Drosophila melanogaster: one gene and its partner. The protein of the gene in region 2 purifies or fractionates together with the protein of the main gene of each other region. This does not show direct contact. Each region holds a gene or a part of one and is shown on either strand. Other genes may lie near its edges. The genes, in order: Polr2M and Polr2C.

The links.
Region 1: the proteins of Polr2C (region 2) and Polr2M purify together in Drosophila melanogaster (affinity purification with western blotting; one study listed by BioGRID). This does not show direct contact.

Annotation. Positions count from the first base shown.
Region 1 is NT_033777.3:19,227,645-19,231,634, reverse strand, and holds Polr2M (RNA polymerase II subunit M), read right to left. Parts: upstream 2,173-3,990; 5' UTR 2,138-2,172; coding exon 1,992-2,137; intron 1,925-1,991; coding exon 1,207-1,924; intron 1,151-1,206; coding exon 908-1,150; 3' UTR 803-907; downstream 1-802. Other genes in the region: unc79 (uncoordinated 79), read left to right, coding at 1-774; CG5250 (uncharacterized protein), read left to right, coding at 2,408-3,343; CG11703 (uncharacterized protein), read left to right, coding at 3,528-3,990.
Region 2 is NT_033779.5:13,831,389-13,834,924, reverse strand, and holds Polr2C (RNA polymerase II subunit C), read right to left. Parts: upstream 1,589-3,536; 5' UTR 1,502-1,588; coding exon 674-1,501; 3' UTR 629-673; downstream 1-628. Other genes in the region: mRpS23 (mitochondrial ribosomal protein S23), read left to right, coding at 42-203, 265-628; GatC (Glutamyl-tRNA amidotransferase, subunit C), read left to right, coding at 1,854-2,300; PolG2 (DNA polymerase gamma subunit 2), read left to right, coding at 2,297-2,987, 3,042-3,436; Orc5 (origin recognition complex subunit 5), read right to left, coding at 3,453-3,536.

The DNA of each region.
Region 1 (3,990 bases), on a different chromosome or scaffold from region 2:
TGGTTGCTCCTTGGCTCCCTCACTCACATGGCTCTGATGCAGCGGCGCCAGGAGACACATAGCATTCCTACGCCCTTGCCGCAGCAGAATAGTCAGGGCACCGGTCCTGCAGCCAGCGTACATTATCAGCATCAAGGAGTGACCTATTCGCAACCGGTGCCGCAGGAAGCCTCCTGCCACATCGCCGATCACATTCAGGTGATCTTTGCCGGATTTGCGGAGCAGTCCAAGACCTCCGTGCTGCACATGTCCTCGCTATTCCATGCATTCACTCTATGTCAACTGTGGACGGTGTACTTGGAGCAGATGGCCCACAATACCAATAGCAATGCGGAGGGCAGCACGTTAGGCGTTCTTTTTGAGTTCTGGGCAAAGGTGACGCCCTGCATCTTGCAATTGGTGTCCCACGCCAAGCCGACAGTCAATAAGGATCAGCCGCAGACCCCCCTGGACTTTCAGACGCAGAGTGCTAACTCCAAGCTGTCCGAGATGGTCAATCTGCACTTCCTTAGTCTGTTGGAGGCGTTGAAGGACACCAATTCCACAGTGCTGGGCAAACTGCTACCCATGTGGAGCCCCGTACTCTCGTCACAGACGCAACTCTCGGACACTTTGCACGTCCGGTTGCAAAACGTAAGAGACTATGCACCGGACTACGAGGAGCAGCAAACGTACAAGTCGGAGGCTCTGCTCAAATGGCTGCAGCGCTTGCAGTTCAAGATGGGCCAGATCGAGTTGCAAGCCTCCACAGCCACGCAGTTCTATTCAATCTAAGTATTCACAGAGTATACACAGTATAGTTATGTATGCAGTCTTATTTGGTAATTGTTGCCTACGCGAATAAATAGTACACAATGTTTCTTGGAAATCGAATAGCATAGATTCTATCTCATGCTCTGCCCATAGGTTACTCGAACACCGTGTAATGAATGCCACTGGCGGACGATCCTCTGTCTTGAACAGTAGGATCTTGCACTTCATTCGCTTCGCTGGCTTTTTGCCTGCCCTCGATGAGAAAAGTGTCTTGGGGATCACGGTAGTTGCGGAAGGATTCCTTGGTTTTCACAATCGATTCCTCGGGCAGGCCAAGTCGGAGTCGAGAGTCTTTAAGCCTGGCCAGCCGCTGTTCAGCCTGCTGAATGCGAACCTCCTACAAATAAAGTGTATTTAGCATCGAATTATGTAGACCATAAGCAATGAAATTACCTTTACTCTTTGCATGTAATCAATCTGTAACGCAGCCGACTCAGCCAATGGCACCAACTGGGCCTCTTTGTGCTGGATGAGTGGCGGAGTTGCTGCCGTTATTTCCCAATGCTTGCCCTTTTTGCGCACGCGCTCCTTGTCGGGATTGTGGACATTGGACTTGGTGGTTCGGAATGGCATAAACTTTTCCCTAGGAGTATTCACATTTGTTTCCGTCTTATCGATGAGGTAGAGGGCATGCTGATCGGGAGGCAGCTCCCTGCTCAGCTTTGCGGCCACTTGACTGGCGTCGATTTCTACGATCTCGGCAGGAAGGGAACTGGTGTCACTATGTCCTGCCAAGGCGGAATCTGGGGAGTCGGTTGGTTTCTTAAACTCCTCGATATCCGCCAGATCATCTGCCGTAATGAAACTCGTTGGCGGAGGCAAAACCTTGACCTTCTTCTCGTGCATTGTTCCCTGCGCTATAATCCGCAGCGGATCCATCTCCACCTCATCATCGCTGTCCAGAATGTCGTCCACATGGGCGCCCTCGTCCGTGTTTCTGCCATTCCACTCCAGATTGTTGAGAGCAATTTTGCCCTTTTCGACAATGTTGAGACCGCTCAACATTCGAGTCGCTTCCTCTACTTCATCCCGCCTCCTGATCTCGGCCAGTAATTTGTCGTACGACTCCTGCAGACGCTTTCCCTTGTCCGGCAGTTGGTGCAAACGCTTTCTAAATAGAGATAAAATTAAATAAGATAAATTCACAGGGAACTCCACAGGTGGAAACTAAAACTCACTTGAACGACAGAAAGTGAGACTGCCTGTCCTTAATCTCCAGCAGCTGCGGATAGGTAAGGGTCTTCAGGTCCTTGCTGTGCTTCTCCTTCGCCTGGCTGGTGCCCGGGATACGGCTAAGCGGAGCAGGAATCACATTATCGCCCATTTTGGCTCACTTATTTTGCTCATAAGCTTAGTATGACCGTGCTGTGGTTGCGATAAAATACTTAGTGCTGCTACGAAGCAAAGGGCTACAGGAGTTCACTTAACGCCTATCGTTATCGACAAAAAGGCGCGTTATTCAAAAATATACATTAGTGCTTCTGATTTCTGTGCGGAATACATTCCTATATTTCTAATCCACCCCAAGCTAGCTTTCTGAAATCCCTCATATATTTCCATAAGATATAATTAAGTACCCATATATTATTATTCCATGCCTAACGACGCGATAATCTATTCTGGTCCCTACGAATTGGGACGCCTTCGCCGGCGTCGTGATATGCGTGTGGCGGAGTACCTCTACAGGCGTTCCATTCGCACACGCAATGCGGATCCCGAGATGACCGTGTGCCGTTTTATCAAACTGCTGCTCTACTTCATCGGATTCTTTTTCGTTTTGGGCGTATTCACAACCGGATTGGCCCTCGTGATGATTGCGAATCATATATATCCGGATAGGCCGGGATGCAAAAAGTTCCCCGGACTAGCAACCGCACCCGGACACCATGTCGGTGATCAGAAGCAAATTATGTGGAGCCCTAATAACATTAAGGATGTGGCTAACATACAACGCGCGATAATGCGAACGGTGAAACGATACGGTCTCGAAGGCCCGAAGCGCCTGATGGGCTGTAACATAGACGACAGTTGGGGCTATATGTCCGGCACGCCGTGCATTCTAATAAAGATCACCCAGGCATTGGGCTTCCAGGCGGTAACCTACGATGACGCCCTAACGCTGCCCGAGTACGCTCCGGATGAGCTATTCGACTATGTGGTGGGCCTGGGCTCGGAGGAGCGCTTCAACCGCATCTGGGTGTCCTGCCAGGTTATTGAGCCAAGAGTGGACATTCAGTTCGACTACCATCCGGTTCGCTTCTTCGATGCCGAAGAGCTCTTCACCTCCGGCAATGTCTTTCTCAACGAGTCTTCGGACGACGACGGACCTACTTACAAGGAGGATCCCCGCCTCAGGCGCATCATCAGTGTTCGGTTGAGCAACATTCCGATCAACGAGGACATCCAAATCCACTGCAAGGCGTGGGCTAAGAACATACCGCTCCATATGGTAACGGTCAAGATGCTGGTGCGTCTGACGGCACCAGTTCATCCAACCACTCCATTGGTGCTGGACGAGTGGTACGAGTGAGATCAGCTAACTCAGCTGGATTTATTAATGTATTAATAAATACTTAACAAAATAATAAAACTATTTGAGAATTATAGTTTACTCCGCTTTAGATTTCATAGTGAACCGAAGCTACAAGCTTCGAATATTTCCCACTTACGCCCACGTAACCAGTAGCCAAATCAGAACCGGAACGATCGCCACGATGCCGGAGGACGTAATGGTGCCCGCTGGGGACTACAAGCTGGTCAAGCAGATACGCCGGAACCAGGAGACACGTCGCAAGAAGGACCTGCCGTGGTCGAAGAGGATATTCGACATAGACGAGCACAAATTGTTCGGACGCACAGCTCTGGGTTGGATGCGTATCACTGGCTTCTACCTGGTACTATACGCCCTAATCGTGTGCATTGTGGCCTTTTGGTTGGGCATCTTTATGCTGGCCATCATTGATCCGAATAAGCCGCGCTGGCTCAAGGGTCCGCCGGGTCTGTCGATGGTGCCCAACCAGAATCGATCCGTGCTGGCCTACTTTACGCACATCATGAGTGAGGTCAATCCGATTGCGGACCGCATCGACGATTTCCTGAACAAATTGAACGACAATGCCATTGACTTCTTCGCCGATTTCAACCAGGACACTACGTGGGGCTACGCCACCGAAAAGC
Region 2 (3,536 bases):
ACGAAATATCTGTGCAAGCTTTAAACACCCGACTCTTGCAGAGTTCAGGGCCTCCTACGCGGTGGAGCTATGAAAACCGAGGATAAACCCATTTGGTACGATGTGTACGCCGCCTTTCCGCCGAAACTGGAGCCCCGATTCGACAGACCCGCGCCTGAGATTCCAGTGCGCCAGATATTTTATGCCGAGGATGTTGTCCGAGCGTATGTTTTTCACCTGCAGTCGGGCTTATACCAATACTGAACTAATCTTGTACACCAACAGAAAGCTGCATAAAGAAAACAAACCCCAGGAAACGATATCCCTGTTTGACCACAGGCGCAGCACGCAGTCACAGCAATTTGTCCAAATATACCAGGACCTGAAAGGACAAGGAGCCCTGGATGAGCAAAGGATCTACGAGACCGCACTGGATCTTTTGGCGGAGCAGCGCCAGCAGGCCCGCCTGGAGACTACCCCAGAGGAATGCCTGCCAGAGCAGGATTCGGAATCCAAGTCCCAGCTGCTGAGCGACTTCAAGGAGGCTGTGGTGAGCCAGCAAATCACGTCGTCACCAGCACCACCTGCTCCCAAGGGAAAAAAGGAAGCGAACGTGGGCATTAACATAGACAGCTTGTTCAAGGATTAGGCGGAACATCTTTTATAAACTTAAAATAAACTTGTTATATGTAAATCAAACGGCCAATGCATCGTTTTGGGACTCGTGGCTGAGTTGCGTCTGCAGGTTTGACAGCTTGTTCTTCAGCACCTGCACACCCATGACCACAATGTTCTCAGGCTTAAGGGCACCGGCGGATTCGACGTTGAAGAAGAACTTGTTTGGCTTGGCTTCCCAGTTGTAGGGCGCCTCGTACTGGTCGTCCTCCAGTTCGGTGTGCTCGCTCTTTGGCCACTCATCAGGTTTGGGATACAGAGTGTGTCGCATGGAGTTGTCCGGATCATACTCGAAGCACACGCCTGCGGTAGGATTCCACTTGGCGTGCTCCTTGCCAAATCCCTTCTTGGCGTAGGCGCGCAGCTTCAGCTCCTGCCCCTTGCGCAGCTTAATTATGAGGATCTCATCGTTGCTCTCGCCGTACTCGTTGTCCTCCTCACCCTGGTTGCGGGACGTCACCGGCAGGACCTTGGCATTGCTCGACTTGAGATCGGCGGTGGTCACGTGGCGCGTCTGTTCCTCGCTGCACTTTACGTCCAGGGTGAACTCCACGCTGCATTCGGGGCAGAAGTCCAGGCAGATACAGTCACGCGTGTACTGCAGCCGCTCCACGACGTCGTCGGAGATCAGCGGTATCAGACCGATCCGGTGGGCTAAAAACTCATCCGAGAGCACCGTAGAGTTGGCTTCCAGTTGCACCCAGTCGATGGCCAGCGTCGGCGTCTCCGCGATGAACACTCGCCGCAGGCTGTTGGCCACACTCAGTTCCGTGTCCTCCAGGACGAACTTTACGTTGTCGTCCGTCAGCTCGGTTATCTGCACGGACGGCTGGTTGGCGTACGGCATTGCGGTTTTGTTTTGATGAAATTAAAGGGTCACGAAAAAAATAACCCGCTCAGTGAAAAGGAAGCGATGGAAGTGCAGCAATAACAGCCGGCGATAAGTGTGCCGTTATCGATTGTTGTTCTCGTTTCGGATTTATAGCTAGATTTTTAACAATAAGGGCTGGATATATTAAATTGAACAAATGTGATGGAGACATGTTTAATTAAACTAGATCACAATAACAAGAAAATTGCTTTAAATTAAGATAGAATAAACACATAAATCAACATTTTTGCAAGGACAATACTTTTCAGATAACATTTAGCTGATTGTTCCGAAACTCAGTTCCACCTCTGATTTTGTGCTGGTGAGAATGTTGCGTCTGTTCAGCAGCCGTTTTTACTGCAAAATTGCAACAAAATCGAATGAAAAGGCCACTAAATTGGACTTCAAGCAGCTAACGCATCCCACCAAGGTGCCACAGACACCAGTGGACTCGAAGTTTCCCGACACCAGCGCCTCCGAAATCCAGATCGACACGAAAACCATCCAGTTGCTGGAGCGGCTGTCGCTGGTGGATCTGGATAGCGAACGAGCGCTGGCCACGCTAAAGAGCAGCATACAGTTCGCGGACAAGATTGCCCATATCAACACGGAGCACGTGCGTCCACTGTACACGGTCCTGGAGCATCAGCAGCTCCAGTTACGCAACGACCAGGTGACCGAAGGCGATTGCCGGGCGGAGGTGCTCCGGAACGCCAAGGTGACGGACGAGGACTACTTCGTTTCGCCGCCGGGCAACATTCCGCTGGAGCAATGAGTCGCATACAACGATGCTTTAAGTCCCTGGCTTCCGCTGGCTTCTTTCGCACCGTGGAAGACAATAAACTGGAGCTACTGAGTCATGGAAGGGAATACGCCAAACTGTTGCAACAGCATTGGACACGACTACGTCCCTTGGCTGCGCACCTGGGCGCCACGAAAGAACCCATAAATCCAGTCAACATCCAGCGTTTTTCCTTTCCACAAAGCCAGCAATTCCGTAACAATTTCCAAAAACTCGTCAAAGATCATCCTCGAAAGGCCAAATGTCCCACTCTTCTGAAACATCAAAGCACTTGTTCTGGTCCCACTAGCAATTCCCTATTTGGGATAAAGGGTCCTACGCTACATTTAACCACGGACTTCCTAGTGGAACCACATCGCGCACTGGAGCACTTCTACAACATGCAGCGTGAGAGCAAGATCTGGTGGATGCGTCTTTCCTCGAATCCCAGTCGCTACCGCATCGTACCTTGCGATTTGGCTGAGGATCTCAATCCCAACGACTATCAAGCCATCGATATCCGCACGAGCTACGGTGATGCAGGAGAAGTGACCGTGGAGCAACTGAGCCTGGTGAGAATAGTGGACGACAAAGACTTCCGGCTGCCCGATGCGCGAACGGGTGAAATTGTGCAACCGACTGTCATAAGGTCTGTGATAGAGCTGGAAACTACCACCTGCGGTAAGTGGTCATCATAACTATCTTTGAAAATCTTTCTATATTATTATCCTTTAGCTCTGCTTCTGGATGGCTGTGATCATGGCCGGGACTCGCAATCCCTGCTCTTACACCGCGTTCTGGCGCCATATCAATGTGGAATTGCCTGTGTGGAAAGTGATTCCGAGCTATCTGCTGACTTGTCTGATCTTTGTCAGCATCTGAAACATGTTCTCAACCACGCCGGTCTTAGACTTTCTGAAGGGGATGGAATTCGTACGACGAAGAACGCTTCTCATTTAGCAGAGCACTTGCTGGAAACGGATATGCTCGGCATACCTTATACACTTGTTATAAACGAGCAAACGCTAAGAAACGGACTGATGCAGTTGCGCAGCCGGGACACAAGGCTGGCGGAGACCATACACATAAGCGATGTACCGGACTATTTATTAAATATATTTAAAAACTAAAAAAAACAACCAGGGGCTACATAAAGTCGCAGAGATATTGGCGGACATTAAAGCCCACCACCTTGCCAATCTGCAGGACAAACTCCAAGCCAATGGTGCA